Linked DNA regions of Astyanax mexicanus. The protein of the gene in region 2 interacts with the protein of the main gene of each other region in a pairwise test. Links are inferred from orthologs where the notes say so. Each region holds a gene or a part of one and is shown on either strand. Other genes may lie near its edges.

Region 1 (7,810 bases), on a different chromosome or scaffold from region 2:
CTCGTTTCCCGCCAAGCGGAGGAGAAAAAGAAATTTATTTTTAATTATTTGTTTCTGACAGCAGTTTGTTGAACATTTTAACTTGATATTGCGCTATTCCACCCAATGGCTGCAATTTGCTTGTTGTAACTCTTCCAAATTAAACTTAGTTTTTTTATCCTTTTTCAACTATGAATCTAATAACACATATGTCTAAGCTTGTAAATGGTGGTTACAAAACTCATGTAAGCTTAAAATGCATGTTTAAAAGCAAGTCCACTGTTTCCTTTCATTTCCTCTCAAGAAAGTTTTTATTTTAAAGAAATGGTTGACTGCATGTCTAATAATTGATATTTATGACAAAAAAAATCACTCCTGTTACTTTTTGTGTTTTTAACAACAGGTATAAAATTAAGAAGAATGAGCTTTTAGCATAGAATTTGCAAAAACATGAAAAAAGCATGAGGAAATTGAGCACATTGAGTGATTTTCCCAAAAATTGTATTTTAAAAATAAATAAGATTTAAGAATTAATTTAGATTACAGGACAGAGTGTTGAGAGTGGCCCCCTCAGTCAATAGTTACAATAAGATCAAATACACAAAAAATATTAATTTTTGTCTTCCCATGGTCTTCAGATGAACCAACTGATGTCACTTCATGTTGTAGATGTGAATTGTAGAATGTTCCAGATGTTTCAGATGGGGTAATGTGTTACGGTAACTCAGGCACACAACTAAAATGTGTATTTTAACTTAAATATAATGAATCTATTGTGGAAAAAAAATTAAAGCATATTTATTACATCTCTGAAGGAATTTGGTCAGTGTACAAGACATTATGCTCAATAATAAAATGTATTTTAAAGTAAAGTTTTTCCTGTGCACATTTATACATGTAATTTCCTGGGGAAAGAAATGTCACAGATTTGGCGGAATATGACATATACACTTTATCTTTTTTTGTTGTTTTATATGTTCTATTTACTTTATATATTATTCAGTTTTTTTCATGTATGAATATGTATCTGACAAATATACTTTAAAGGAGTAATGCCAGAATAGACCCATTGTTTGTTTCTACAATTACATGGCATTAGCGTGAAGTCAGGGTCACATGTCAACCATCTAAATGTTTAACCACTTCTGCTCATATATTTAAAGAAACTGTTTGCCAGATTTTTTTTTTCACAATTTTATGTTTTTTAGTTTAGGATACACAAATAGAATGACTGTAAGAACTGTGGGCAGGACGCTTTGCATAACTGTACCCTCATGGATGTTTTTATTTTATTTTTTCCTTTTTATGTCAACCAATTCTGTGCGGTTTCTGATTCTTCCTGTTGAAATAACCAAATAAAAATAAATAAACAGCCCAGGAATTAGGCGCCATACAGACCAGCCAATCAGAAAAGAACAATTTGCATATATCAGTCTTAAAGACCAAGTAGCACAATCTGAGACTTAGTTGTAGAAGATGCAAGGTTGGAAAATGACATGTACAAATACATTTCAACTGTTTTCGCTACACAAACTAACAGATATATACAGCAAAATAGAGAAAAAAAGAAATCAGGAAATTGGCCATAAGTTCACTGATGTTTGGGATTAGTAGTTTTGCCTGCAGGACGACAGAAGAAAAAGTGTTTTTTACTTCATGAACTAATTCTGGCATGGCTGTATTTCTAAAACCACAGTGAAATAGCCATTTTACCATCTCTTGAAAATAAATTCCTCAAATGGAATGGACTTTGAATAGAAATCCATCCAGCAAATTTGAGAAAAGCTGATTAAAATATATACCAGACCTAACTAATAATGATGTGTGAATAAAGCTGTTACATTGTAAATAGTCCTGCAGTTACAGGGCACCATTTGCTTATTCTATTGTATATGTGAAAATCTTTAACAGCAGCAACATTAGCAGAGCATTACTACCTTGTTGTTCAGCCTCGCTGCTCTTTTTCCCCTAAAAAAAATAAACTGGACTGTAAATGAAGTTAAGCAGAGTTTACAGGAGACAAACAAACTATTATGTATTTAGGACGGGTATGTTACTTTCATTTTAAGTATTTTTTTATCATATAAGTAGGTAAACCTGTAAAACTGTTATCAAACATTCCTCCCACATTCTCTATTACCTGGTCTAATTTAAATAGCTAAAAGTGGAAAGTTCCTCAGAACTCAGAATGTATTTTTCAGACCTCTGCTCACACTGGACAGTAAAATCCCATCATTTCACTTTACTTTTCTCACCTGTACCTTCTTTTTTCTTTGGTAAAGCAATCCAATATTAATATATAGTTGCAAGAAAAAGTATGTGAACCCTTTGGGATTACTTGGATCTCTGCATAAATTGGTCATTAAATGTGTTCTGTTCTTCATCTAAATCAGAACAATAGACAAACACAGTCTGCTTAAACCAATACCATACACATAAATATATGTTTGCATGTTTTTTTAACACAACATGTTAACATTCACAGTGAGGGAGGGACAAAGTATGTGAACCCCTAGGCTAATGACTTTTCTAAGAGCTAATTGGAGGCAGGATGTGATGAGATTGGATGTGTTGGTTAAAGATGACCTGTCCTATAAAAACCAATGCCAGTTTAGAGTGTGCTGCTCTTAAGAAGTATTGCTTGATGTGAATCATGCTTCACACAAAAGAGCTCTCAAAAGACCTACGTTCAAGAATTGATGACTTGCATGAAGCTCGAAAGGGTCACTAAATTATCTCTAAAAGCCTTGATGTTTATGTTTCCACGGTAATACAAACGCTCTACAAATGGAAAAAGTTCAGCACTGTTGCTACTCTCTCTAGGCGTGTTTGTCCTGTAAAGATGACTGCAAGAGCACAGCGCAGAATGATCAATGAGGTGAGGAAGAATCTTAGAGTGTCAGCTAAAGACTCTCTGAAATCTCTGGCACATGCTAACATTTCTGTTGACAGATCTACAATAAAGAAAACAGGACACCACAGAGGAAGCCACTGCTGTCCAAAAAAACAATACTGCACGTTTGAAGTTTGCAATTGAGCACCTGGATGTTCTACACAGCAGTACTGGCTAAATAAACTGTGGACAGATGAAACCAAAACTGAGTTGTTTGGAAGGAACACACAGCGCTATGTGTATAAAAATGCACAACACACCATCATCAAAACCTCATCCCAACTGTGAAACATGGTGGAGGGGGTATTATGTTTTGGGGCTGCTTTGCTGCTTCAGGGCCTGGACGGATTGCCGTCATCAACAAAAAAATGAATTCCCAAGTTTTCCAATACATTTTGCAGGAAAACTTAAGATCTATCCTCCAACTGAAGCTCAACAGAGGATGGATGATGCAACAGGACAACGACCCAAAACCGAATTAAATCAACAACTGAACGGCTTCAACAGAAGAAAATCCGCCTTCTGGAGAGTCCTGTCCTCCTGAACCCAATTGAGATGCTGTGGCATCATGGCCTCAAGAGAGCGATTCACACCAGATATCCCAAGAATATTATAGCTGAACTGAAACAGTTTTGTAAAGAGGAATTCCTCCTGACTGCAGGTCTGATCTGCAGCTACAGGAAACGTTTTTTTTAGGTTTTTGCTGCCAAAGGCGGATCAACCATTTATTAAATCCAAAGGTTCACATACTTTTTTCACCCTGCACTGTGAATGTTAACATGTTGTTTTCAATAAAACCATGCAAACATATATTGTTTGTGTAGTATTAGTTTAGGCAGACTGTGTTTGTCTATTGCTGTGACTTAGATAAAGATCACAACACATTTGATAATTAATTAATTTAGAAATCCAAGTGATCTCAAAGGGTTCACATACTTTTTCTTGCAACTGTATACATGGCTGATTAACTTGCCACACACAGGACATATTAGGACTGGGGCATAAGTTGTCTCATCATATCTCTATTATTCTGAAACATTAATTATCTGATAAACATACATACGGTATTAGTCTAGCACCTCACCTTTAATATAAACAAACAGACCCACCAATAGCACCACAGCTAACCCTATTCGCTCTGGTTTGAGGAGTTGACAGTGGTTGCAGTCTGCACCATTAGCTTATCACATTAAAAAAAATGTCAGAAAATAACACTGGGTTATTGTCCTTTTTAACATTGATTGTGTGGGTTTGTATTTTTGGTTTCGAATAAGCATTACCTAGGAGAGACACATTGGAATTTCTGGGTCTCTGAGTCCATCTCTCCTGAAAGTAAGACAAAAACAATTCCAAATCTGGTTTATGGTCTTGAGATCAAGGACAGACTGGAGTACTACAACACTAGTATTTTTTAGTGGCTGAAATTGCTAACAACTAATAATAACCCAGATAAACACTTATTTCTAGCAGTAGGCTGCCTATACTAAGATTGCCACCCGTCCCATTTTTTTTTTTTTTTTGATTCCACAGGCACTTGTTTTCCCCTGTTTTAATTCGGGAAAGGTGGCAACCCTACTCTATATTCTATACTCTGTCCTCTATACTCTACATTCTGTACTCTATACTCTGTACTTAATACTTTATACTCTATTTATATTTATAACTTATACTCTGTACTCTAAACTCTGTACTCTATACTCTACTTTATACTCTATATTATATAATGTATACTCTATACTTTATACTCTGTACTCTGTAATTTATACTCTATAGAATACTTTAATGCTGCTTTTAAAATCGGAGACACATCCTTCATCAACATACTGCCTTCTGAGGGAGCTAGTGTAGGCAGCAATGCATCAAGTCAGCATGTCTGGAATTTGAGATACACCCAGGTCTAACAGCGCCCCCTGCTGTCTGTCCTTCACAGCGGCTGTTATTATCAGTGTCTGTGTGGAGTCGGAGAGTCGGCAGTGGAGACATGGCGCTGTCGTCGGTGGGGAAGTGCTTCTCGTCCTTTGGGCTGTTTGGCAGAACTCTGACGGGCACGGAGGCGAAGGCGGTGTGCTGCTACCACAAGAAGGTCGGTGGCTGTTAAACACTGCGCGCTTTTCTGAGCTGTGAAACTAACCGGGCTGTGTGTGTCTGCGCACTTTAAGCCTGTTAGCTAACAGCGCTGCTGTCTGGGGCGCTAATCCTCCGTTAGCATAGCGAGCTAGTGCTGCTAACACTAGCGAGTTCCGCTCTGTTTTATATTTATTATAAAGCTTAACTGCTCGAGACTTTCAGAAAAACAAGTACAAAGCCCTTCTACAGCAGGATATAACACTACATAATTATTTATCTGTTCACAGCGCGGTGTCCTCGCTTAGATAAGTGACAGTTATTGTTTGACCTGGATAAGTAACGTTAAACCAAGCTAAGTTTGATGCGTAGTCGAATCTTCCGTTCCACCTTAAATCCTACTGCTGATACAGACAGGCACCTTCACGTGCGCCGCCCTGTTATTGCTGGGGAATTTAAGGTGGACTGGGGAAATCCGCTGAGCAGCTGCAGCCTCAGAAGTGAAGCTTCTTGTATTGTAGCTGATTATATAGGTGGGTGGATTACATGTTTATCGAAGTTCTGGTCTTACTTTCCTTTAAATTAAGCATGTTTGTGCGGTTAAGGCACTTATGACGAGCAGTTTCAACCTAAAATGACCCTAGAGATCTAGCTAACTTACTCAACTCAGTATTGACTGGTGAAAACAAGGTCACTGTAATACAGAATAAATGCTATGGTACCTTAGCTAGTAATAATATCAGATCTAAAGCTTTATACAGACATGGTATAATTTTGTCATGTTAATGCTGATCTGCATGCTTTTAACTATAAGTACATTTTTACCTGTAAAAACTAATATAGTTACGTATAGTAAATGTATATTATTTGCATTTTAAAGTATACATTTACTTGTCAAATCTGTAGTTACAGACAGAATTACTTTTGTGTTCGTAGTAACTGTTCAACATTGTAGATATCCAAAAATATGCTATTTGCTATCTAAAACTGTTAGAACTACGTTTTAAAGATATATTGAGTTATGATGAATAGGGAATCTGTTTTTCAAGGTCATTGTCATTGTCTGGTGTATTTTTCTTTAAATTAAGCATTTTTTAACCTAAAATGACATCAGAGTCGAAGTGCGTAGCTACCCAACTCAGTTTTTACTGGTAAAAACATGGTCACTGTGATGCAGAACAACTGCTATGGTACCTTTACTAGTAATAATATCAGATATAGAGCTTTATAAATCTGTAAAGCACATATTTTTTCATGTAATTTTGTCATGTTACCACTGATCTGCTTTAATATTAACTATCTCTAAGTACATTTTTACTAGTGAAAACTATAGTTATTGATACATTTATTTTTGATCTAAAACTATCCAAAAGGCTCATCAGAATTAAATATTAGAGATATCTTGAGGTATGAGTTGGTCATTGTCATTATTAGATGTATTTTTCTTTAAATTAAACATGTTTGTGGGATTTAGGTACTTACAACACGCAGATTTGCCTAAAATGACACCAGAGAGAGAATGCCTAGATACCCAATTCCATGTTTACTGGTGAAAACAAGGACACTGTAATGCAGAATAAATGTTATGACACATTTACTAGTAATACTATCAGATCTAAAGCTTTATACAGACATAGAGCATAATTTTAATGTAATTCTGTCATGTTACCACTGATCTGCATGCATTTTAAAGTACAGTTTACTAGTAAAAACTTTAATTACAGATCTCTGCAATTACATTTGTGTTAGTACACAGTTAAATATTGTAGATATCAAACATTATATTGTTTTCTATCTAAAACTATCAGAAATGCTCATTAGAACTTTATATTAGCGGAATCTTGAATTATTGTAATAGGTAGGTACACTGTTTTCTGAGGTCATTGTCATTATCAGGTGAATTTTGACACCAGTGATGGGTTACAAGTCCTGGCTATCTCAGTGTTTACAGGTAAAACAAGGTCACTGTAATGCAGCTTTTACTGGAGGAAATATTAGTTTAAGTTATCAGCTATGGCACCTTTACTAGTAAAAAGTATCAGATCTAAAGCTTTATAAAGCCATAGAGCACATTTTTAATGTAATTTCGATGTTATCACTGATTTCCATAAAGTTTAACACACTTAACTATAAAAAAAAATAAGATATTTGCACTTTTTTATTTTTAGAAATTGTAGTTCTAGACATCTAGTAAGTAATTCTAGTTCTAGATAAAGTAATTCTTATTGTTACATATTATTTAAAAATATTGTACCGTTATCATGACTAGTCAAAACTCAAACTGTAGATATAATCATATAATTTCGTATGCAATAATCATTATCGCATGTCATATAATTTTAGGGCGATTAGGGTACAACTTTTTTGCTATGTGTAGAATTCACTTCTCATTTAGGAGTGTGCCATAATATATCATATGCAATATTATCGCCAAATAAATGTTAATATTTATTTTGTTGCAATTAGTGTGTTCTTCAAATATAGATGTTGGCCATATCACCCAACCCTACTACTCCTAACTGCATATCTTGAATTATGATTTATAGGAATCAACACTAATTTATTAATATGTGGAACTGGACATTTAACTTGTCAGAATTACAGTGGAGATATCCAAAATTAAAATATCTACTACTAAAAAAGAAAAATTATATCTCAATGGTCAGTAGTAAGGGATTTATAGAATTATGTTAAGGATGTGTGCTTTTGGAATTACATCTATTCAGAATGATTTTATATCACTGTAGACCTGACATTATTACAAGTAATTATTTCTGAATCATATCTGAAATTAGAGTTTCCACTAATGACCTACATCAATACAGAGACCTGCAATTAGAGTTTTTATTAGTAAAATCTTAGTAAGGACTAAAT
Region 2 (7,741 bases):
CCAGTCTTACACACTGCTTTTGGATAACTTTATTCTTCTCCTGGTGCAAAAATCCAGGGAGTTCAGTTTGGTTTGATGGCTTGTGATCATCCATCTTCCTCCTGATTATATTCCAGAGGTTTTCAATTTAGTAAAATTTAAAGAAGCTTATAATTTTTAAGTGGTCTCTTTTTTCCTGTATATGGTTGTATATGTTTGGTTGTAGATGTAAAGAAAAAATTGATTGTATTAGAATGCAATTTTTATTTTATATTTTACCTTTAATTAAATGCTTGACTGTGACCAAAATAAGGTTCCTGAATTGTGTTTTCTACTGAGACTACATGAATGTACAAGAGGCAGTAGGAGCAGAGGAGGCATCTAAATAAAAAAAAAAAAAAGAACATATTGTCAGACGACTTCCACGACTTCTTGTCTCTTGGACACGGCCAAAGGTTCCATAGGTTGGGACTAGACTGGTTATGGACAGCAAGAACAGAGACAGACGGTGTGTGACTTCATTCTTAGCTTAGTATGCCTTTACTCCACTACAAAAAACCTGCAGATGTTTAAAATGTTTTTTTATTATTATTTAGTATCTTTAAGAAGTTGCCCTCCTCTCGCTGATCACTCCTGCAAGATTCTGATCAGGCTACAGCTGCAGTAACCAGTGCAGCCGCCCACCTGCTTAGTGCCTTCTAAGCTCTGTAGGGGCACTGCAGCGCACCACTGCGCACGCTTCTGAGAAGAGATGGGAAACGGCCTGTAACAGCCGCACTGAGACAGCAGGGGTGGCGTCCCAGGCGCCGCCAAAGACAAGAGATTACGGCTTGTCATAATTACCCGAGCTCAGCTTGGGGAGAAAAAGCATTAAAAAGCTTTTGCTTCCGTTTCCCCCGTACATTACAGGGACATATTTTCAGCACTGCGTTGTTGTCGGGCTAAATGCCTCACTATAGGACCACAAACTGTGTGTATGGGGGGGCTTGTTCTGTGCACCAATTAAATGAAGGGGCCTTTTAGCAGGGAGGACTTAATCACCTCTGGCAAAGGGCAGGACTGGGGGAGCCTTTCAACACCCTTTCAACTGGCAAAGGTCATCTGAGGCCTTTATAGAGGCACGAAGGTAATGAGGGTGTCGCAGGAGTGAGAAAGCAAGTGAGAAAGCACCCCTCCTGAAACAGCGGAAGTACCAGGTTTCCTCTGCATGAAGATCTCACAGAGGAAATCTCAGATTTGTTATGACTCAGATTTGACAACAGAATGTCTACTCTCAATTGTATTACACTGCAGAGACTTATTATTATGAAGAGCTTATTGGCAAAAACAAAGCTATTCTTTTAAACATAACTGTTTTTGCAATTTAACTCTTCACATGGTGCATGGAGCCCAGTAGTTCTGAATTTTGGTCCTAAAGTACCACTGCTCTGCATGGTGAGGTGTTTTCCAAAATAAAACACACCCAGATCACCTCAGGAAGGTTTTGCTTTAAGCTTCAATCAAGGAAAAACATTGAGAGCAACTACAGAACAACCCTATATAAAACAACTACAGTCCTCAAAATCCAACCATGTATAGTTTTAACAGTGATCACTAACCCTGGTTCTGAAGATCTTACAACACCTAATCAGAAAATGTTGGAAACTTATAAAAAATGTTTCTCTAAAAATGTGTTTTTATTTACTTTGACACTATGAACCTAGGATATTTATTTTTTTAGCATACATCCATTCCTGCATTCAGACCTGTAGTACTTGGTAATGTTGTAATGTCTTCTCACTTACAAGAAGAGTATTTCTAAATCTAATCTAATCTAAATTTTGTCCTATTTTTCTTGGAAACATGTCTTAAGGTGTGCAACAGTACAGTATTGTTTTCTCATTTTGTGCTTCAAAAGTCTCCACACTTTCTCTGTTAGGGACAGGTGAGGACTGAGACAGGCCAGTCCAGTACCAATGCCCTCTTCCTCAGAAGCATCACCTGGTAGCTTTTCATTGTCTAGTTGAAAAATGCATGAAGGTCCCTGGAAAATGCATGGTCCTTCTTGGCTTTGGTTTGAAGCTCACAGAGTTGACCTGGAATATTGATTTGTCTGATTAAATACGTGTTTCCACAGTGTGATGGTCCATCCCAGATGTTTTTGAACCCAGAGGAGTTGATCCTGCTTCTGAACATGGTTAACATAACATGCTTTGCTGCTAACTAAGTTCTTTTAATGTTTTTCAGTGCTTCTACATTTTGTAGGTGCATTACACATAGTACTTGACCAGCTGCCCTCTTGGAAATAACGCTGCTACAAATGTTAGTGAACAATTCCACAGTAGAACCACTTCTGGTTTAAGTAAGATTAAAAATGTGTTTTTTTTCTGAAACCAAATGTGTGCTTCTATACTCTTTTTAGAACCATTAATAGCATGAGTGGATCGGATGCAGTGTGATGCAAGGGAAGAGGCAGGGTGAGACCACTGGTTTAAATGATTTCCTGCACCCAGCATGCCTGATGCAGCTCATCATCTAATTATCAAGCCCTTCATGGGGTTGGTCAGTAGTGATTGTGGCAGAGAGTATCTGAAACTGTGCAGGTCAGTGGGTCTCCAGGACTGGAGGTGACAACCTCTGTGCTGAAATTTACAAGAGATGTGTTTTTCTTGCTTCTTTATACTATTTTCTATCTTCTTTTGATGTGAAGGTAAATATTACCTAAATTTAACAGCTATTATAAACTAAAAGTAACAAAATAAAGTCTGTCTAACATTTCTAAATATTAAATACATTACAAAAACAAGGCCAACACTCCCAAAAAAGATTAGTACACATTAAAGGGGGAATGACTACACACTGATGATGCCTGATAGGGGCAAATGAACCTAGTATGGTACCAGGAGCCAAAAGAAAAGATGCAAGTTTTATTGCACAAACACAGTTTGCTGTATTTTATTAAAAGAAAAAATATTCTAGATAATAATCTACTCAATGGCTGCTCACCACTGAGGAAGAGTATAATCTGTTAATGCCTGTCCCCGTTCTCCATCACATCTTTTGAAAAATGTTCAAAGCGAGAGTGTCACCTACTACCACCAGCATTTCTTCTATTACTGTCTCTACTTCATGCCATTAAGGTTGTTTCCTGGACCAAAATAACTTCTGACAAGGTTGTGTAATATTGATGCAGCCTGCTAGGGGTCTGCAATGTCTCCAGGATAGACCTTGGTTGAAACTTGTCAGCCTGTGGACTGGTACAGAATGTTGCTGCTTACATTGAATTAGGAGCATGTTCAACCGTGGGTTAGAATACATTCTAAATCACATGTGAAAAATTTTTATTCTGTAAACAAAAAAAAAAGGTGTCATTTTGTATAGGGCAGTGATACACTAAAACCTGATCAGCATGATTTAGTTAGTTATATGTAAATGTGCATTTTACCTTTTTGCTTATCTCTGAGATATCTACTTTTTGTCTACTTCATTTTTTACATATCTGCAGATACAATTTTGTCTCGGCAGATAAGACCATAGGTTCTCCAGAGACAATTACTCCTCCATTATTCAGCTGCCCATTGTTGCATTCCTGCTCACACTGTGGGCTGTGAGGCTAATGTTCAGGTCACGGATGTGTCCCTGGAGACACACTCATTAGACTCTTTGGAAATTTGCTTATACAGCAAATGCAGCGGCACTGGACAAACTTGTTTTCACAAATGATTACAGTGTGTTACTCAAAGTCGAGTTCAGGCTGATTAAATATACTTTTACTGCTGCTGGTACTTGGTATGAATAAAAAGCTACACAAAAGCTTCACATATGGCTTGATGAAATCAGTATCAAATTATAGTTTGGAGATTTTATTACTGCTACAGTAAACAAGTACAGGATCATAAAAAACATATGACCAAAAGAGATCTTGTCAAACAGAACTTTGTGTGTCATTGTCTGTATTTAACAGCTGGTATGGTGAAGCAAACCCTGTAGGTTCCAGTTTACCCAACCGAACACATTTATAATTTATAATCAAGGAATTGATGTATATGAAGAAGAAATTATACAAAGTTGACCAGACAGAACATAAACACTGTCCCTACTTTTTTGTTTTGGGTTAGTAATTCAACTCCAATACAAATCCATTTCATCCACTGGTGGGACACGTTGTTGTGACAGGAGCACCTAACCAGGTACTTCATCATTTTTCACCTATAGGAGAACCTAATACAGCACTGCATCTCATTTTCTCTGCTGGGAAAAAAAGCATCCTTTGGGACGCTGTGCAGCAGATGTGGGAGTGAAGGTGCTTCATAACGGCACTCAAAGATGGGTTCTCATTGAGACACTTGAAAATTTCTTGATCTAGAGAACTTCTTTTTGGGGGCACCCTAGCAGACACTTTTTGGCCACTTTAGCGAACCACTGGGAACACCTAGGGGGGCAGTTGCCCCTCTGGCCCACCCCCTTAAGTCTGCCAGTGTCTGACTTACAGCTTACAGCAGATCAACCGTGTGCTTCAGAGTCTAGCTAGATCCCTGAGAACTATATACATAATCTACTTCATCCAGTTTAACTAAATCAGAATGAAGTTCTGCTCCGCGCAATCGGGTCTGTTTCAGTACCAGTCATGCAGGCAGGCATCCAAGTGTGCAGGCAGGGCAGCGCAGGGCAGGGTTTGCTCCAGCAGCAGCAGCAACAGCACCTGCACTGAGAGAAGCCTCGCTTCAGAGGGGCAGTAAGTGCGCGTGCCTTGGAGAGGTAGGTGTGTGTGCGCGCGCGCGTGTGTATGTGTTTGGGCATGTGCTGATGTCAGAGGGGAGGAGGGACCGGCCCCCATAGCGCGCAGCATGAACGCGCGGAGGCAAAAGGATGTGTGAGCAGGCAGCGCGCAACTGCAGGGACGTCGTCCACAAGCTGCTCCACAAGGAACAAGGCAAACTCCGCGCGCAGGACAGCGGCGAGCAGCCCAGAGGCGGCGGGCCGCGGGACAGCGAGACAGCGACGGCTGCACCGGCCCAAAACAGCGGCGGAGGAGCCCAGCCCGGGGGAATCGACGGGCTCGTCCGCTGGATAGTCACCAAGATGAGCGACAACAAAAGCATCTCGACGCGGGAGTACGCCAAGGAGGAGGAGGAGGTGGCCGTGGCCCAGGAGCAGTTCTTCGCCCCGGAGCCGCGGAAAGGCATCTCCGTCATTCTGGACGTAAGTGTTTGTTTAGCTGCGTGTTTGTGTTCGCGCCTGTGTGTGTGTGTTAGTGTAAAGTGTGTTAGCGTTTGTGTACGCTGATGTTGAAGGGTTGGCTGGTGCTCGCGCTTAAAGTTTAACTTTGTTTCTGGCAGTAAAATGACTTGCGGAGGAGTTAGGAGGAGGTGTTTCAGCGGTTTGGCTGAGTTTAACGTTACTTAGCTAGATTAGCTAATTAACCGGTGTGGTAACGTTAGCTACACGTCTGGAAAAAAAATAAGAGAATCAGTTTAACTGATTTTGCTATTTATAGGTAACATGTTTGTGTAAAATGAACATTGTTGTTTTGTTCTGTAAACTACAGACAATATTTCTCACAAATTCCAAATATTGTCATTTAGAGCATTTATTTGCAGAAAATAAGAAATGTCTGAAATAACAAAAAAGATGCAGAGCTTTCAGACCTCAAATGATTCATACAGTTTTAAGAGTTCAGAAATCAATATTTGGTGGAATAACCCTGGTTCTTAACCACAGTTTTCATGCATCTTGGCATGTTCTCCACCAGTCTTACACACCGCTTTTGGATAACTTTATGCCACTCCTGGTGCAAAAATTCAAGCAGTTCAGATTGGTTTGACGGCTTGTGATTATCAATCTTACTCTTGATTATCTTCCAGAGGTTTTCAGTTTGGTAAAATCAAAGAAACTCATCATTTTCAGGCGGAATCTTATTTTTTCCAAATCTGTATCTAGCTAGTTACTAGCTAACCTAGTTAGCTAACGTTAGGTTGCATAGCACCCTCTCCGTAACGCCGTTGCCTCGCGCTCAAGTCATTTAATTCAGTGGAGCTCAAAAACGAACACAAACGTTGTGCAACTTTCTGAATTGTAACAGCTGCGTTAAACTGCCTTCACACCCCAACCAACGCCTCTTCTAGTGAGCAGGATTCGTATTCTTTAGATTAATACTCTAAAAAAGTGAAAAATCGGATGTAAATCCGCCTGGAGAGTGAGTACATGTGTACAAACCTTAGCCAGCTAACTTACTAGCGACGCCAACACATTCGTTTTAAGTGGTTATGAGGGTTAAGTCTTTAAATTATTAACCCTCTGTGACATTATTAACACTTCAAGCAACAAACCAAGTTTTTGGTTGATACACTGTAGCTTATTTTTATGTATTTCATTTTAATATAATGTCACAATGAATATATACGCTACGCCAAATACAACGAGACGTACAATGGGTCATAATAAGTATAGAAAATGTTTGGCTGTTTATATTTTTACAATATTCATGCTGTAAACTTACTAAAACAGTGTTTTTTCATTTGTTGAACACATGCCTGCATGTTTTGGTTGATTTCTTGCTCTGAAACACCTGATTCAAATCTAAATTGTATACGTTTGATTACCTATATTCACATGGGCTTTCAACATTCCAAACATCATAGTATTCCTTCCAAAAATATAATTTGTCATTGAGCGTTAAATCATTTTAGAACAGCACAGTAACAGAATAATAGTCTCTCTTAAAATTAGGTCTTGTCTTGTTTATCACGTAATTTCTTGTAACAAATCTGTTTTTGACAGAAACATTACTTAAGGAGGGCTAGGTTCGCTAGCTAACCTGTGATATCTAGTTTGCTAGTTAGTTAGTTAACCTAGTTAGGGAGCCTAGCATCCTCTCTGTAACGCCGCTGCTTCGCGCTAAAGCCATTTAATTCAGTGGAGCTCAGAAACGAACACGAATGTTGGGCAAGATTCTAAAAAGTAACAGCTGCGGTACACTCCTTCACACCACAACCAACGTCTCTTCTAGTGGTTAGGCTTCTTATTCTGTAGCTTAATACAAATATTTTACTGAAATATTAAATATTAAATTTATTGTGAGGGTGCGAAGCTCTCTAGTGTTTAAATTAGACTGCGTAACTGAGATCAGCTGGAGCCGAGGGCGAGCGTCTTCTTTTCCCGCCTCTTCTCAGTTAAGCCCCTCCTTTGGCTAAACTCTTGTGCTGTGATTGGTTCATAGTTCATACTCTATCGATTCACTCGTGGATGTGAACTACTAGCGAATCCCAGCGCCTGGCAGAGATACTACCAGCCAATGCTAGCGCAGGAGGCGGGGCTTGCCCAAATACTGGCGGTTTAAAAGAAATACAACGCGCACGGAAGCAGCCGTGTGAAATCTTTTATAATCTCATATCATCAATATTATTAAGATAGTCTTATAGTATGACTAGCCTACATAGTTTATCTCTTAATTAATTAATCGATTTTCCCGTTGTTTACGCCCCCAATGTATTTTCTCTCACGACCATAACACAGCCTATGTGACAAGCACACCCTGCCTAAATAATTGATTAACTTTTCCTAGTGAAGCCCTGCTGTGCTCAGGCGAGGTCTCAGCTGTATTGATTTAGCAGGTCAAAGTGGTGCCTCACTATCTTCTCAGAGCTCCTGATCATTCATTACCCTACCTGTGTCTTCTGGGGGGAAAAAAAGTTAAAACCCTGCCTGCCAGTGGAGCGAAAAGTAGTTCATTTCCAGACCCAGATACAGGAAAAAAAAAGGTAGTAATGTGTTTAACTGGTGC
Region 3 (7,529 bases), on a different chromosome or scaffold from region 2:
TCATTAACCCTACCTTTTCACAATATATTAATCACATAACTGCACTGGCCCTGTGGTAATTTGCAGCTCTTTGGCCAAGATCTGAGAACTGGTGGGATTTTTCATGATTGGGATGCCAATCTGCCTCTAACAGAGCCCCAAACCCAACAACCTCCTCTGTCGGCAGGATCAGAACAGGGCAACTGCCATTTCTAAACATGTTTATTAATTATTGATGAGGTCACATTGCCCCTGCTCCTAGATACCTGTGCTGCAGTCTCACTGCTAAACCTGGTGCCCTACAACCGGTTCTTCTCTCACAAACCACTAGAAGCACCCTCCTTGGGTGGCTACACTTATTCAGAAATTTATACTGCAGGCTCACTTTGACTTAACATTCATGGCATGGGCCGCTCTCCAATAGCACTCTGGGACAGCATTGTGATGGAGCAGTCAACATAACTGAAGAGATGCATGCCTCAACTTGGGAGTGGGGAAAAATAATAAATAGTACCCCCTTCAAATGTCAGAGGAGCTCACCGCTTAGTTCCAGTTTATTCCAATTTGAGCTCAAAATTGTCTAGCGGACTAAGGTTCTAGATTGTGCTACCTTTTTCAGTCTGAGAGAGAAAAATTGGCCTTGCTTTATCAGGATGGGTAGATGGCTCTCTTTCCCCACATCACTCCCCAGATAATGTCAGTCAGCACAGGCAACTGTTAGCTAATGTATCAGAGCTGGGTCACTGCGCTTTCCTACCCCCCTTTCTACCCATTGATGCTGCATCAGTTGTAGTTTGAAAGCATTGTAATTGTAAATGTAATTTGATTTCACATGTGCCAGAGGAGTCATTTGCTAGTCTTCACCCTCCAAATGCTGGGGGCACTGTTGTCATAGGAAGAGTCCTAAGGATTGGGTTTGGGTTGTTGGCCTTTCAAACTGGGGACAAAAATTAGTCTATGCCAGGGCTTCCAACAAGTGCTATTATACCTGCACAGCCACAATTTCACTGCCCTTATCACTCACAAGTGGGTCTTCCGGTATAAATGCATGGCTTTCGGGTTGAGCATGGCACAAGCTGCTCTCAAAAAATTATGACTTCCATGCTTGTGGGCCTTCTAGGAATCATAATTTACCTCAATTACTTTCTAGTTAGAGTTTGAGGGGTTTTATTTTCAGCAGAGGTCATCTTTCCCCTTTACTCAAACGCAGAGGTCATTAGCCAGATCCCTGAGCTTACCACACCTTCTGAGGTCACTTACATTTAATGCCCACTTTAAATAAGCTTCTGTAACAAGACAAACCATTGCTCAGTTGTTCTGTTCTGTTGTGGTTCACCAATAAACTGGACTAAGTTCCAAGTTTAGATCTTAGTTCCAAGGTTATGGTATCACTGCTTTTACACCACACTACAATAATTGGTAAATAATAAGTTTGATGCTGAATTATCATGTATGGTACCAAGCAACTGATGTTTATCATTTATAACAGAAGTATTTGTATACATAAACCACTATATGGTCATCACAAAAATAGCAAAACACACGGAAACACAGTTCACATTTATGTGTTGTATGTATGTAAGTTTACTTTTATTGGTATTTTCAAAATGGTGTTACTTCTTGGCCTCTCAATACACTCTAAAAAACAGAGGTACGATATGAGTACTTTTTTGTACTCGAAGGTACATTCTTTATAATTGTACCCTCAAAGGTACAATATTGGTCTTTACAGGGTCAGATTTGTTCCCTCTGAAGTACAAAGTCATTTCTAACAGCAATAAGTACAGATTTGTACCATTTAACCAGCCAAAAGGTACATTCAGTATTCTGCATCACTGTACTAATGAACAGTATATATTTAAATTGCACATTTTTTATTTGAAAGCCAGACAATTTTGTATCATCAAGTTTTTGAGCCATTTTTAGTTGATGACAATGTTTATAATCTTTATAATCTATACTGGCACAAAAACCATGGGTACAAAAAAGGACTTTCACTGAAAGGTACTTTTTTGTACCTCAATATAAGGTACAGCCCCAGCGACAAGCTTTGTACTCTTTTAAGTACAAATCTGTACTTATATTTCTTAGAGTGTACAACAGAGCTGTTGCCATGGCAACAGTCGCTCTGGTGGTGTTGGCTGTTCATAAATTTGTGAACTGAAGGTATTTCCCCATTGGATATGACGCAGACACTGAGCGCGAAAGAGTTCACGTGTGGTGCAACGTGTTGTGTGCGCGTGTGGACACACACACACACACACACAAACACATGCAAACCCACACATACCTATACATATTAAGTTTATTCTAAAATAAATCCACATTTACCTAAAATAAATACATAATCCAAATGTGTCTGTTCAAAATAAGCTAAAAACATAAACCTATACAGATTAAACTACTTAAACTGGTTGATCAGCTTGACCAAGCACATCCCAAAGATCCTCAATGGGGTTCAGGTCTGGACTCTGTGGTGGGAAATCCATGTGTGAAAATTTCTATTATTGTTTTTTTTTTTTTTTTTTTTCACCAAATATTTAAGTGATTTAAGTGACTGAAAACGATCAATCAGGATTTTTTTCAGACCACATTTCTTTCTCCAAAATGATGTTTCCCCACTTGCGATGTACACTTCTCAATCCGATTTTTATATTAGATGACAATGATTTGACACTTTTGAAATAGATTAAAAGGGGAAACCGGTATGAAATGGACTTGAGGTATAGTAAAACATGATACAAGTACGAACTTTTGTTGAATAGCCCACCTTCATTCGTCCCCCAGCATTCTGAAATACAGCACTCAATGCTACGATGATGATACGATGCTCCCAACAGGCTTACAATGCTAGTGATAGGGGCATTGCTTTGCCCATGCAAAGAAATCACTATGTTTACACATTGAAAGTGCACAGGTACTTTTTATGCACAGGTAATAATACTTTTTATACATTGAGGTAGTCCTCCGGGAGCCCCCATTTTGAAATGAAGTCACAATAAGTCAACCAACAAGCACAAACAAATAGGTAGGATATTCCTTCAAACTTCTGTGGAAATCCATAAATATTATAGAGATATTTTCAGCAACAGCTGGAAATTATACATTTCCACAGAATTCATTTTCAGACATCCCAAGTTGCAAAAGTTGATTTCAGGGAGGTTACCCTAAATCGTTCTGAATTCCGGGAGATTATATGTGACTCGCGGGCATCAGGGAGCCACTACCGAAATGCGTGAGACTCCCGCTGCTTCAGGGAGACTTGGTTTGTCTGCATTTTGTAGTCTGTTTCCCTATCTTTTTCGTTTGTGTTTATCAGTTAAGTCTTATCTTGACACAATTGCAACATGGCAGCGTGTGGATAAGTATCTGAAGGTACTGGGGGTATAGAAAGTCTTATTTAACCCTTTCAGATCCTGCATCCATTACAATGGACATTATGTATTTTCTTTATTTTAAAATGTTTTGTTGCACATAACAGTATTAGAGAACTGTTGTCCATCAGTATAGACTATGAACCAGTCTATGAATGAGTTGAGTTTTTAAACCAATGAAATAGTAACTTGGCCCTTCCACTGCACTGGGAGAAGCAGTAGTATTAGAGCCATTGAGGCAAAATAAGAGGTAATTTTTACTAATGTTATGTGACTTGGAACACTTTTTAATCACGTTTTCCCACTGTTTAGGGATAGTTCATGAAATGAAAAGCACAGTATTAAATATAAAATATTACACATAGGTTTTCAATCCAATGTAAATAAAATATACAGCTCTGTAAAAAAAATGAAGAGACCACTTTTCTGAACCAGTTTCTCTAATTTTGTTATTTATAGGCATATGTTTGAGTAAAATGAACATTGTTGTTTTATTCTGTAAACTACAGACAACGCTTCTCCCAAATTTCAAATAAAAATATTGTAATTTAGAGCATTTATTTGCAGAAAATAAAGCAATAGAGCAATTATTTGCATCTTGGCATGTTGGCTCCTCCACCAGTCTTACATACTGCTTTTGGATAACTTTATGCCACTCTCCGTGGCAAGCAGTTCAGCTTGGTTTGATAGATTGTGATCATCCATCTTCCTCTAGATTATATTCCAGAGGTTTTCAATTTGGTAAAATCAAAGAAACTCATAATTTTTAAGTGATCTTTTTTCCAGAGATGTGTATATATTTTTTTTAGTTAATTGGATGTATTTTCTATATAGTAAAATATTAGAGTCTTCTTTTCTGTGCATCACAGACAGAAAACACCATTCATACAGGATGGAAAAAGGGTTAGTAAACTTCCTTTTTAAAACCAGAAGGTGGCGCTCTTTATCAATAGTATAGTTTTGCTCTGCAGTGAAGGAGATAAAAGCGGTGCTGAAAAAATTGGTTATTTTTTTGTTTTGTTTAAACAAAAGAAAAATCTGAAATCTCTCTGAGATCTGAACTGTAGAGGAGGGCCCATAAACACGGCCAGGGCGCATGCGCGCAGCCGCACTGATGCTGAGTGGCAGCGCGAGGCTCCTGCGAAAGTTTGCGGGTGTTTCTCTCTCCGCCCAGAGAGCGAGAATTTCCCTGTACACACACACACACACACACACAAAGAAAAGCGCGAGACCAGGGGAGGAGACAGGGCGCGTGGAGCTGCACGAGGTTCATAGAGCAATACAGGAGCGCGAGATGACTTTCTAATCTACAGCACGAGGAGTGAGGTAGGATAAATAAACACACGCACACTTGCGGAATAACGGTTCGCCTACAATAATAATAATAAACGCAACACGCCTCGCGCTGTAGCGCACACGCGCGCGGGCTGCAGAACTTTAAAGATTACACACAAGTAACTCCACGCTGTACTCGCTTAGTGCGCGTGACTAACTGTATGCTCTTCGTAAGTGCGCGTGGACACAGAGCGCTTTTTTTGTCTTTAGTTCTAGTTCTTTATAGGTTTCTTGTGTATTGTGGGGTGGAGTGTGCGCGCGCGCGGTGCCTGCAGCAGTGGGGTAAACAGGGAAATCACCGCCCAGTCCAGAGCAGACTGCTCGCGCAGCGGTGCAGCGGTCACGAGCGTGAATGAGTGTAGAGCTGAACGGTAGTTCAGTAATAGAACATAATAGAGAAGTAGGGAAATACAGTATTAGAGGAGTAAGGCAGAGTAGACTAATAGGGTAATACAGCAGTAGAGTAGTAGGCATAATAGAGCAGTAGGCTAATACAGTAGTAGAATAGTACAGTAGTAGAGTCATACAGTAGTGGCCATAATAAATTAGTAGAGTAATACAGTATAAAAGGAGTAGGGCATAGTACACTAATAGGGTAATGCAGCAGCATAAGTTCAGTAGTATATGGCATATGAGACTAATAGGGTAATACAGTAGTAGAATATTACGGTAAAAGAGTAGTAGAGTAATGCAGTAATAGAGGAGTAAGGCATATGAGACTAATAGGGTAATACAGTAGTAGAGTAGTAAGGTAAAACAGTAGTAGAGTAAAATAGTTGTAGAGTAGTAGGGTAATACAGTATAAGGGGATTAGGTTATAGTACACTAATGCAGTAATACAGTAGAATTGGGGCATAAATAATAGAGTAATAGGGTATTACAGTAGTAAAATAGTACAGTAGTTCAGTAATATAGTGGTAGGATTTAAAAGAAGAGTAAAGTAATACAGTAATAAAGGAGTAGGGCACATGAGACTAATAAAGTAATACGGTAGTAGAGTAGTGGGCATAATAGAGTAGTAGGGTAGTAGAAGTAGTAGAATAGTAAAGTAGTTCAATAGTATAGTGGTAGGATTTAATAGAGGAGTAATGTAATACCGTATTAGAGGAGCAGGGCATATGAGACTGATAGAGTAATACAGTAGTAGAGTAGTACAGTAGTAAAGTCATACAGTAGTGGGCATGATAAATTACTTTTAATACAGTATAAGAGGAGTAGGGCATAGTAAACTAATAGGGTAATAAAGTAGTAGAGTCATTTAGTATTAGAGTAGTGGGCATAATAGAATAGTAGAGTTATATCGTTGTAGAGTAGTAGGCATAATAGAGTAACAGAATAATACAGTAGTAGAGTCAAACAGTAGTGGGCAGTAAAAGAGTAGTAGAGTAGTACAGTATAAGAGTAATAGGGCATAGTAGACTAATAGGGTAATACAGTAGTAGAGTAGTAGAGTAATATAGTTGTAGAGTAGTTAGCATAATAGAGGAGTAGGCTAATGCAATAGTAGAATATTACAGTAGTTCAGTAGTGGTAGGATTTAATAGTGGAGTAAAGTAATACAGTGATAGGGGAGTAGGGTGTAGGAGACTGATAGGGTAATACAGTAGTAGAGTAGTACAGTAGTAAAGTCATACAGTAGTGGGCATAATAAAAATAGTAGTGTAATGCAGTATAAGGGAAGGAGGGCATAGTAGACCAATAGAGTGATACATTAGTAGAGTTATACAGCAGTAGAGTAGTGGCATTAATAGAGTAGTAGAGTAATACAGTAGTAGAGGAGTAGAGTATAAGCATAGTAGTGCATAATAGATGAGTAGTATGGTAGATATTATATGATAGTGGGGTGATATATTAAGGTTGTAGTATAATACAGTAGCATAGTATTAGGGCATAACAGAGTAGTAAATTAGTAGAGTTGTATGGTATAATGAAATAATACAATGGTAGAGTATTGTAGGGTAGGGTAGAATGTAATAATGCACAGTAAATTAGAGTAGTACCATAGTTCAGAAGTAGGGTAGAATAAAGGAGTAGAGTAGGAGGGCTCAGTAAAGTACAGTAGTAGAGTAGCACAGAAGAATTAAGAAGAATGTTACAGTAGAGTAATACAGTAGTAAAATAGTAGAATATAATAGAGTAGTAAGGTAAATTATACTATAGTAGAGTATGGTAGATTAGTACACACTACACAGTAGTAGAGTAATACAGTAGTGTAATATTGTAGAGTAGAGTGTAGTGGCTTACCATAGTATTAGAAATATATAGTATAGTAGTTTAGTTGGTTTGTGGGATTAGGGGGAAGTTTTTGCTTGGGTCCAGAGTTTAGTGGTTTGCCGGTGTGCAAATATGAAAATACTCAGCATCACCAGAATTCTGATCACCGGCCCTGCCCCCCTTACTTGAAAGCAATTCATTCTCTCTATAAAAGAGCCTCAAGCTTTAGACTTGTTGCGAAGTCTCAGTTTCCATTTATTAAATTTTAAGCACTGAGCATTACTTAAGCCTGTGTTTATTTGTCTTTCTTGCCTTTGCTTGATTATTTGGACTGTGTTAAGCTTGTGAACAAAGATCTGTCTGCACATGTATCCAGCTTAATTTCCTCTTTGTGGTGGCAGTAATAATTTAGAAATGTAAATTCTCTAACAAGAGGCGGGGTTATAGGTAGGATAAGAGGTGGAGTAAGAGTATCTACACATTTTGAGTAATTTAAAGTTGGTTGCTATGTGGTTTGTAGAGAGCTAGAGGGTTGTTGTGGTTTATATGGTATCCCTGTTGATTGCTATGAAGTTGTTAGACAGTTTCCGTGCTGTTTCTGGTGGTTGCTGCGCTGTTGCTAAGTGG
Region 4 (7,215 bases), on a different chromosome or scaffold from region 2:
AACAATATGAGACATTCACAGAAATCTAAATATTTTATGATCTTCTTCAGGGGTTTTAAAAAGGTTTAATATATTTGTGCTTTCTATTCGTTGACAAATGAGAACAAACCTCTGTGACTAAACAAAAACTTCCTTTTTTTTTTTTATTATTCCACCAAAAAACTGAAATGTCTTAGTACATGTAATATTTTAGACATTTATTGTTGTGACATTTTGTGACAAATTGTGTGATCTATCTGTCTACATTTTAAACTAAATATTGCTCTGTTTAGCTATGAATCGTGTCAAGTCTTTATGTATTTTTAAAAACATGTGGCATTACTGTACATATCCTCTACTCTGTGTTTAGGATGGTTTAGGAAGCCAGACAGTCTGGAAAGTCAATCAAGCCTTCTTTTCCAGTGTGCTGAGGACAAGCCCCTTCCATGTCATGACATATCCATATGTGGATTTTTAAAGATAATTTAGTTTAAGTGGCATTTTGGGCTAAATTTGGAGAAACAACTGGTCATATTAGTTGTGCTAAGCTTTTAAATTGTATTTGTTTGACATGTTTATCGCAAAAAGCTAAAATCTTGTACATTTAGCTAATAAGCCTATAATTTGCAATGGATGTTGTATAATGTTGATTACAACTGTATGTTACAGATGCAGCAGATGGAGATTAGGTTAAGAACTGCTGAAGTATTTCTTTAAAGAACTATTTGTGTAGCTCTGAAAGAAAGCTCTTTAGTGGAATCAGTCCAAAAAACCCATGAGACCTATAGCATAGACATTCTACTGTCTAATGTCTCATATATTTGGCTCACATTTGTTATTTATTTGCCAATGTCTCTATTCTCTAAGAACCAATTTTGTTCTATTTATCATGCATTTATGTCTCTCTCACGCTCTCTCTCTTCTCTCTCTCTCTCTAGTTCTGTTTCTCAGCTGTTTTCGGAGTTACCGTAAGCAGGTCACTGCTGGGGGCTGTTCTGGTCAGGCTTCAGAGACAGAATCTCCCACATGCTCGTAAAACTTTGTCTCTGAGAGGGGTACGGTGCCACTTTTCACTGCATGCACTGATTCATAAAACCACAGATGTTTTCTCATCACGGCTCGTGTACCAAACTCATGATGTAATGTGGTACACATTTTTGTTGTTTTTTGCTTTTTTCCTAAAAAACAAAAAGACATTTTCATTAGCTTGATGGAAGTTCCTGGATCAGAGCATACATGTGTAAAACGGCTGACAAAATCCAAACACAATTTCTCATTTTACAATTGTTGCTTTATATTCTACAGCAAGGACACACAGTGTTGCTGATGCAAAGCAGCAAAAAATGATAAGACCACTCAGAGTGCCCCCTAGTGGAGCATGTGCAACCTGTTAAACATGAGCGAGTCAGTGAGAAAGTGAGTGAATTAGAAGCCTACCAAGATAGCAATGAACGTCTGACTGTTGACATCTGTTTCCATTGCTTGTGACATTATTAGCTGAAGCCAAGAAAACATTGTATCCACAAGAAATATGCTGAGGCCTTAAGATAGCAATAAGCATTGCGACGTGTCTTGCGCAGAGAGTTCATAAACTAAAAGTAAGGTCCACTTTAAAATTGGGGTTATCTAACCCCCATGCTTACGGTTTTCTCCATGCCTACAGTACTGTCAACACTAGCTAAAAAGTAATAAACCTTAATGAAAATATTAGCTCTCTGGACTATAAATGATGCTGTTTTTTTCTGTGTTAGTCTGCCGTTAAATCAGCAAGTATCTCAATCAACTTGCATTTCAAATTTGGAACCTGTATAATGCAATATGTGAAACTAAACCAAACCATAGATCAACAATTCTAATCTTTTTTTTAAGACATTTTAAGTTTTTTTTAGGGTCCACATACATCCTGTTCACATAAGATACGAAGCCAGCTAACTGCTAAAGTAACTTGCCATTAAAAAAAAAAGTTCCTGATTTAAGAATGGCTGGAACTTCTGACAGACATTCTCTTGAGTACAAAGTATGCGAAACAGTCATCTTTGCAAAACATATGGCAACTATAAAGTTCTGCTCATAAACATTTGCATGGCATTTTCCTGATGAGCTGAAGAGAGGAACTGATTATGTTCAGGACTGTGGAGACACCAGCAGAGAAGATGAATAGAAGACAGGATGGAATTCATTCATGGATGAGTTCCAAGGTATAGGTCAGGACACATCCTTGAGTAATATGAAGAAACTTATAGTCAGTTTTCTACATGATCTGGCACTAATAAACAGGATAGGAAACAGATATGTGCAAGGGTGAAAGGTCACAGTACATAAAAAGGATATGATCAAGGCAGTTTGGTGAGCTCGCCAAACAAAGCTGCAATAAGGAGGTAACAATTAAATGAAGATATACTTTGGTTTAGGAAATGGAAAATGAGGGACAGGACTTGGAAAAACTAAATTAAAGGGTAGTGTACTAAAATAAAGGGAGGTCTGACTTGTGGCTTGGCTTGTGGAGAGACAGAAGGCTTTGAGATTTGGCAGATGATATTGTTTTGTTACCGATAAGCAGAAGGAGAAAAACAGAAGGGTTTATTGATATGGACAATTCTCTTATCACTGTAGCAGTAAAAACTCATTGGTTTATGATGTTATGCTGGGAGTTATTTTACAAAATGGGCTAGTTCTGGCCCCTAGAGGACACCTTAGGTATAGTCAGGGATGAAACCAGTATATTTCTGTAGTTTACCAGTGAGGAGGAATGTAGGGCTTGCAGGGTGGCAGGAGTGTATTTATACATAACTTTTTACTGGGACCCAGTTAGGCTTCCCCATATGGGCCTTATCATTACAGCCCACCTTAATCAAACATGGGTCCCATCTGGGCCTCATGTGCAGAGTTCATTCTACAAGAGTTCATGTTTAACCCCTCCTCATTTCATCACTGGCCCTGATGGAGCCCATTACTGACATCCATATGTGGGACCAACGTGGAACCCATTTGCTCTTTTCATGCAGCCGCCATTTTTAATTGAAAGTGAGGCTTTGATGGGAGGAAGTAGAAGTAAGTCCACACTCAACAATGGTGTGGACCACATATCTTCAGCTATAACCACGTTTAACCATGAACCATCTAGAAAAAGGGCTGAAGAGGGATGTTTATTAACAAGAGCAGGATACAGCAACTGCATAGAGGGGTACATCACTAATATCGTAAAGTGTTAAGGTTTTAGCCAACATTAGCTAACCTTGCTAATGCTAGCTAGCTGGGGCTAGCCCGACTCTCCAAGTCCGGTGAAAAGTGCTGCTAATGCTGCTAGCCCAACTCTAAAAAGCCTAGTGAACATTATGTAACTACATAAATATATAATTCTGGAAACCTTAGTTCTTTAAACATTTTTCTAAAGCATTAGCAGCAATGTTGACAAGTTATAGCTAGCTAACCTAGGTTTAATTTATAACATGCTAACCTAACTTTAATTTATAACTTATAACTAGCTAACCTAGCTTTAATATATGTTATAACTAGCTAACCTAGCTTTATTTATAAATCATAACTAGCGAACCTAACTTTAATTTATGTTATAACTAGCTAACCTAGCTAGGAAAACGTGGGATAATACAGGCAAACACGGGGTCAAACAGGCAAACAAGAGGGTAATATAGGTAAACACAGGGTAATGCAGACAAACACAGGGCAATACAGGCAAACATGGGATAATACAGGCAAACACGAGGTAAAACAGGCAAACATGTTAGTATATATCTTGCATTCTACCTCATTGCGTGCACATATGTTTTTACTGGTACTGGTTTGTACATATGTTTTACTGTGTTTTACATACCACCTTAAATACCCTGTAGGCTCCCTGTGTGCAGTGTAAAACCCAGCTGGGGTTCATGTTTATCCCCTCCTGGTCCTATTATTGGCACTGATGTGGCCCATCACTGTCATTTGAATCTGTGTACAAACAAGATCTGCATGATCATCCAAAACCAAATGCCAGCGTTCACACTTCTTCTCCCATCTGAAAACTCGATGGAGCAAATATCTCGATGTAGATATTGTGGTGAAATCACATATTTTGTTAGATTTAAGCTTTGACTATATGGATTGTGGTGTTAAGCACATCAGAGTGTCTGTTTTTTCAATCAGTCATTTATCTCTTGCATGTCCTCTGGATCTACTGATGCTCTTCTGGCGGCCTCTAGTGGAGAGAGCTGTATCTACAGTCTCGAGCGGTTGGTATGGAGACAGCGGCAGCCTCCTGATCAACAGAGCTCAAACTGAGATTTAATAGTTTCACTGTTTTAGTGAAGCGCTTTATAACAGCGAGCTTTAAACAGATTTATCTTCCTGTGGAGGTGTGTAGCTTTATTGTGTTTTTTTTTTTTTTTTTTACCGTGAAGCAGAAAACCTATTCTGGAGAGACGGTAAGTCGAAGGCACTTATTTAGCGTAACTAAGAAGCAACAATAAATGTAACGTTAACTGTAACTAACCGAGCTAAGTTAGTTAGCTTAGCTAGGTTAGCTAATCACTAGGTTTGGTTTGTTAGCTAGCTAACTATTACTTGTTAGTTAAATAACATAAACTAGTTCATTAAGCTAGTTAGCTATGTTAATTAGCTGAGTTGCCTGTTAAATGAACTTTACCCACACCGCGTTTTTCAACTCAGTTAACGAGAGTAAACAGCTGGGTTGTGTTGTGGGTTGTTTAAGTGTGTGTGAGTGTGTGAATAAATATGACAAATTCTCTAATAGTTTGTCACTGTTTTCCCTAATTGTCAATTTAAAACAAATAAAGGCCATGCAGGTAGTTACCTACACTTGTAAAAGTAAAGTATATTAAGTATATTTTAAAAATATGCTTAACCTGGAAAAGTACATACTTTTCCAAATTAAAATATGTACTTAAATAAATACCAAATGTACTATTTTTGAACAACTTAAGGTAACTTAAGTTAAATATATTTCAGTTGTAATTAAGGTAACGTTATATTTAAGCACAACGTAAAAGCATTAAATTGTGCTTTTGAGTGCTTTTACTTCTGTGAACTAAAGTAGATTGAAGCAACTTAAGTTTTAACACCTTTTTTAATACACTTGAAGTATATTGTAAGTGTACTACTGTGCGTATTGATGCACATAATGTGTACATCTTAATGCTACTGGAAAAAATACACTAAAGTGCTCTTTAAGCAGTATTCAATGCCATTATATATATATATATATATATATATATATATATATATATATATATATATATATATATATATATATATATATATAATTTTTTTTTTTTTTTACTTATTTACTTATATTTATATATCTATTCCTCCCCCACACCACTGCACCTTGTTTTTGTCTCATGTATGTCTATTTGTGTCCCTGCTGTATTGTACACATAGTGTCTCCCATTTTCCTTTATTATATCTATTATCTGTACTTGCTGTAAAATTGGGAAGGAGAGTAACGTCATTTCAATTCTCTGTATGTCCTGTACATATGCAGTATTGACAATAAAACTACTTGACTTGACTTGATATATATATATATATATATTTTTCAATCAACACATCATTTAAAGCATTGCTTAAAAATACATTTTATGTAAATACAGAGAAAGTATATTTAATATATATTTTTTATAAAGTATTTGAAATTGAAAATGCACTTTTAGTATTTTTTACCCAATTTGAACATACTTTATTGCTCTTAAGTATACTTACTTGCACAAGGGTGCAAGTAGCTAAGCTAAGAGCGTAGGTAAACTAGTTAGTAAGAAAACTATTTTAACTACTTTAATGGAAAGAGACACTTTTGCCTTCTTTAACTGTATTGAAAAAGTATTTAATGGAAAATGTTTATTGGAACGAGTGTCCAATACTTTCAGTATTGGACACTCGTTCCAATAAACATTTTCCATTAAATACTTTTTCAATACATTTAAAGAAGGCAAAATATCAAATGATGCTATGAAATGTGGAACCAGGCAGTAACTAGAATATTTAAATCTGACTGGTAACCTATATATTAAGTAGTTTTTTTTATACTTTTGTAATGATTGCTGTATTTATTTTATAGAATCTTCATAGCTTAAAACATGTGTGCTTATTATCCTTGGTGTGCTATCAACAAATGTTTTAGGTTTGTTTGTTTGTTTAGATTGATTCGTATTATTTTTTTCCTGTACATTTTAGTTACATTGAAACCATTAAAACATTAAACAACAAAAAAAAGAGCTGAGCGCTCCACTAGCTATCAAAATATAGATCAAGATAAGAGAATAAAAAAAACAACAACATATTCTTAGAATAATTTCCTTTTTTCTCAGAGTGGGTTGAATCAGAAACAATAACAAATGCACCTTTTTTCCACTATTTAATGAGACATTGCTGCTGCTGCTGTACCAACAATGTTTACTCTTTTCTTTTTTTGTACTCACAACACTTTACACATGCATATGCACTTTACTCACACAACGTATTTTTTAATTTAATAGTGTTTTTCTTTAATTAGCTTTACTGTTATTTGTACTTCAATGTGTATTTAACTAAGCAAATGATCTGGGGGTTCTGCAGTTGGTCAGGTTTAGGTTCAGCAACAGTATGTGCTGAAAGAATGAGGTCAACTGACTACCTGAATAAACTGAATATAGACCAGGTTATTCCATCAATTTATTTCTTCCCTGATGAACACGGGCATATTCCAAGATGAAATATGCCAGTATTAACGGGGCTGGATTTGTGAAAGAGTGGTTCAGGGAGCATGAGATAATACTCAGACCCTCCCATCATCAATGCAAGATCTTGGTGAAAAATGAATGCAACACTGGATTGAAATAAATCTTGTGACATTGCAGAAGCTTATTGAAACAATGCTACAGCGAATGTGTGTCGCAATCAAAGCTAAAGGCGTTCCAACCAAATTTTTGCCCAGGCAGTGTACTGCAAGGAACTGCAACGTAAGAATTGTATTTATCAGCGTAACTGCTTGTTTCTGCTGTGCATATGACAGTAAAACTCTTGAATCTTGAATGTAGAGAGAATCTATATAAGAGGCAGCCAGCTGTCTATAATCAGTAAGGGTCAGTAAACTGCGAATGACTTTCCCCATGTGCTTGTTTATGCAGATCATGCGTCGACCAGAAGGCGGCAGTGCTGGAGAGGATGAGGGGGCGAGTGAGCCAGAAGTACCTATCCAAGCATTTGCTCCAGAGGCTGATTTACAGGAGGAACCTCAAAGCA

The links.
Region 1: the proteins of necab2 (region 2) and iscu interact in binary tests that used the Homo sapiens proteins (3 or more experiments, as listed by UniProt). The two-hybrid records come from large-scale screens. The link is inferred for Astyanax mexicanus from reciprocal best matches to the Homo sapiens genes NECAB2 and ISCU.
Region 3: the proteins of necab2 (region 2) and nek6 interact in binary tests that used the Homo sapiens proteins (3 or more experiments, as listed by UniProt). The link is inferred for Astyanax mexicanus from reciprocal best matches to the Homo sapiens genes NECAB2 and NEK6.
Region 4: the proteins of necab2 (region 2) and ccdc146 interact in binary tests that used the Homo sapiens proteins (3 or more experiments, as listed by UniProt). The two-hybrid records come from large-scale screens. The link is inferred for Astyanax mexicanus from reciprocal best matches to the Homo sapiens genes NECAB2 and CCDC146.

The regions. Positions count from the first base shown.
Region 1 is NC_064429.1:3,638,709-3,646,518, reverse strand, and holds the start of iscu (iron-sulfur cluster assembly enzyme ISCU, mitochondrial), read left to right. Parts: upstream 1-4,798; 5' UTR 4,799-4,853; coding exon 4,854-4,955; intron 4,956-7,810.
Region 2 is NC_064416.1:25,389,396-25,397,136, forward strand, and holds the start of necab2 (N-terminal EF-hand calcium-binding protein 2), read left to right. Parts: upstream 1-4,722; 5' UTR 4,723-4,827; coding exon 4,828-5,160; intron 5,161-7,741. UniProt on the Homo sapiens protein: May act as a signaling scaffold protein that senses intracellular calcium.
Region 3 is NC_064424.1:22,039,650-22,047,178, forward strand, and holds the start of nek6 (serine/threonine-protein kinase Nek6), read left to right. Parts: upstream 1-4,517; 5' UTR 4,518-4,679; intron 4,680-7,529. UniProt on the Homo sapiens protein: Protein kinase which plays an important role in mitotic cell cycle progression. Required for chromosome segregation at metaphase-anaphase transition, robust mitotic spindle formation and cytokinesis.
Region 4 is NC_064409.1:35,913,540-35,920,754, forward strand, and holds the start of ccdc146 (coiled-coil domain-containing protein 146), read left to right. Parts: upstream 1-4,192; 5' UTR 4,193-4,400; intron 4,401-7,100; 5' UTR 7,101-7,103; coding exon 7,104-7,215. UniProt on the Homo sapiens protein: Essential for sperm flagellum biogenesis and male fertility.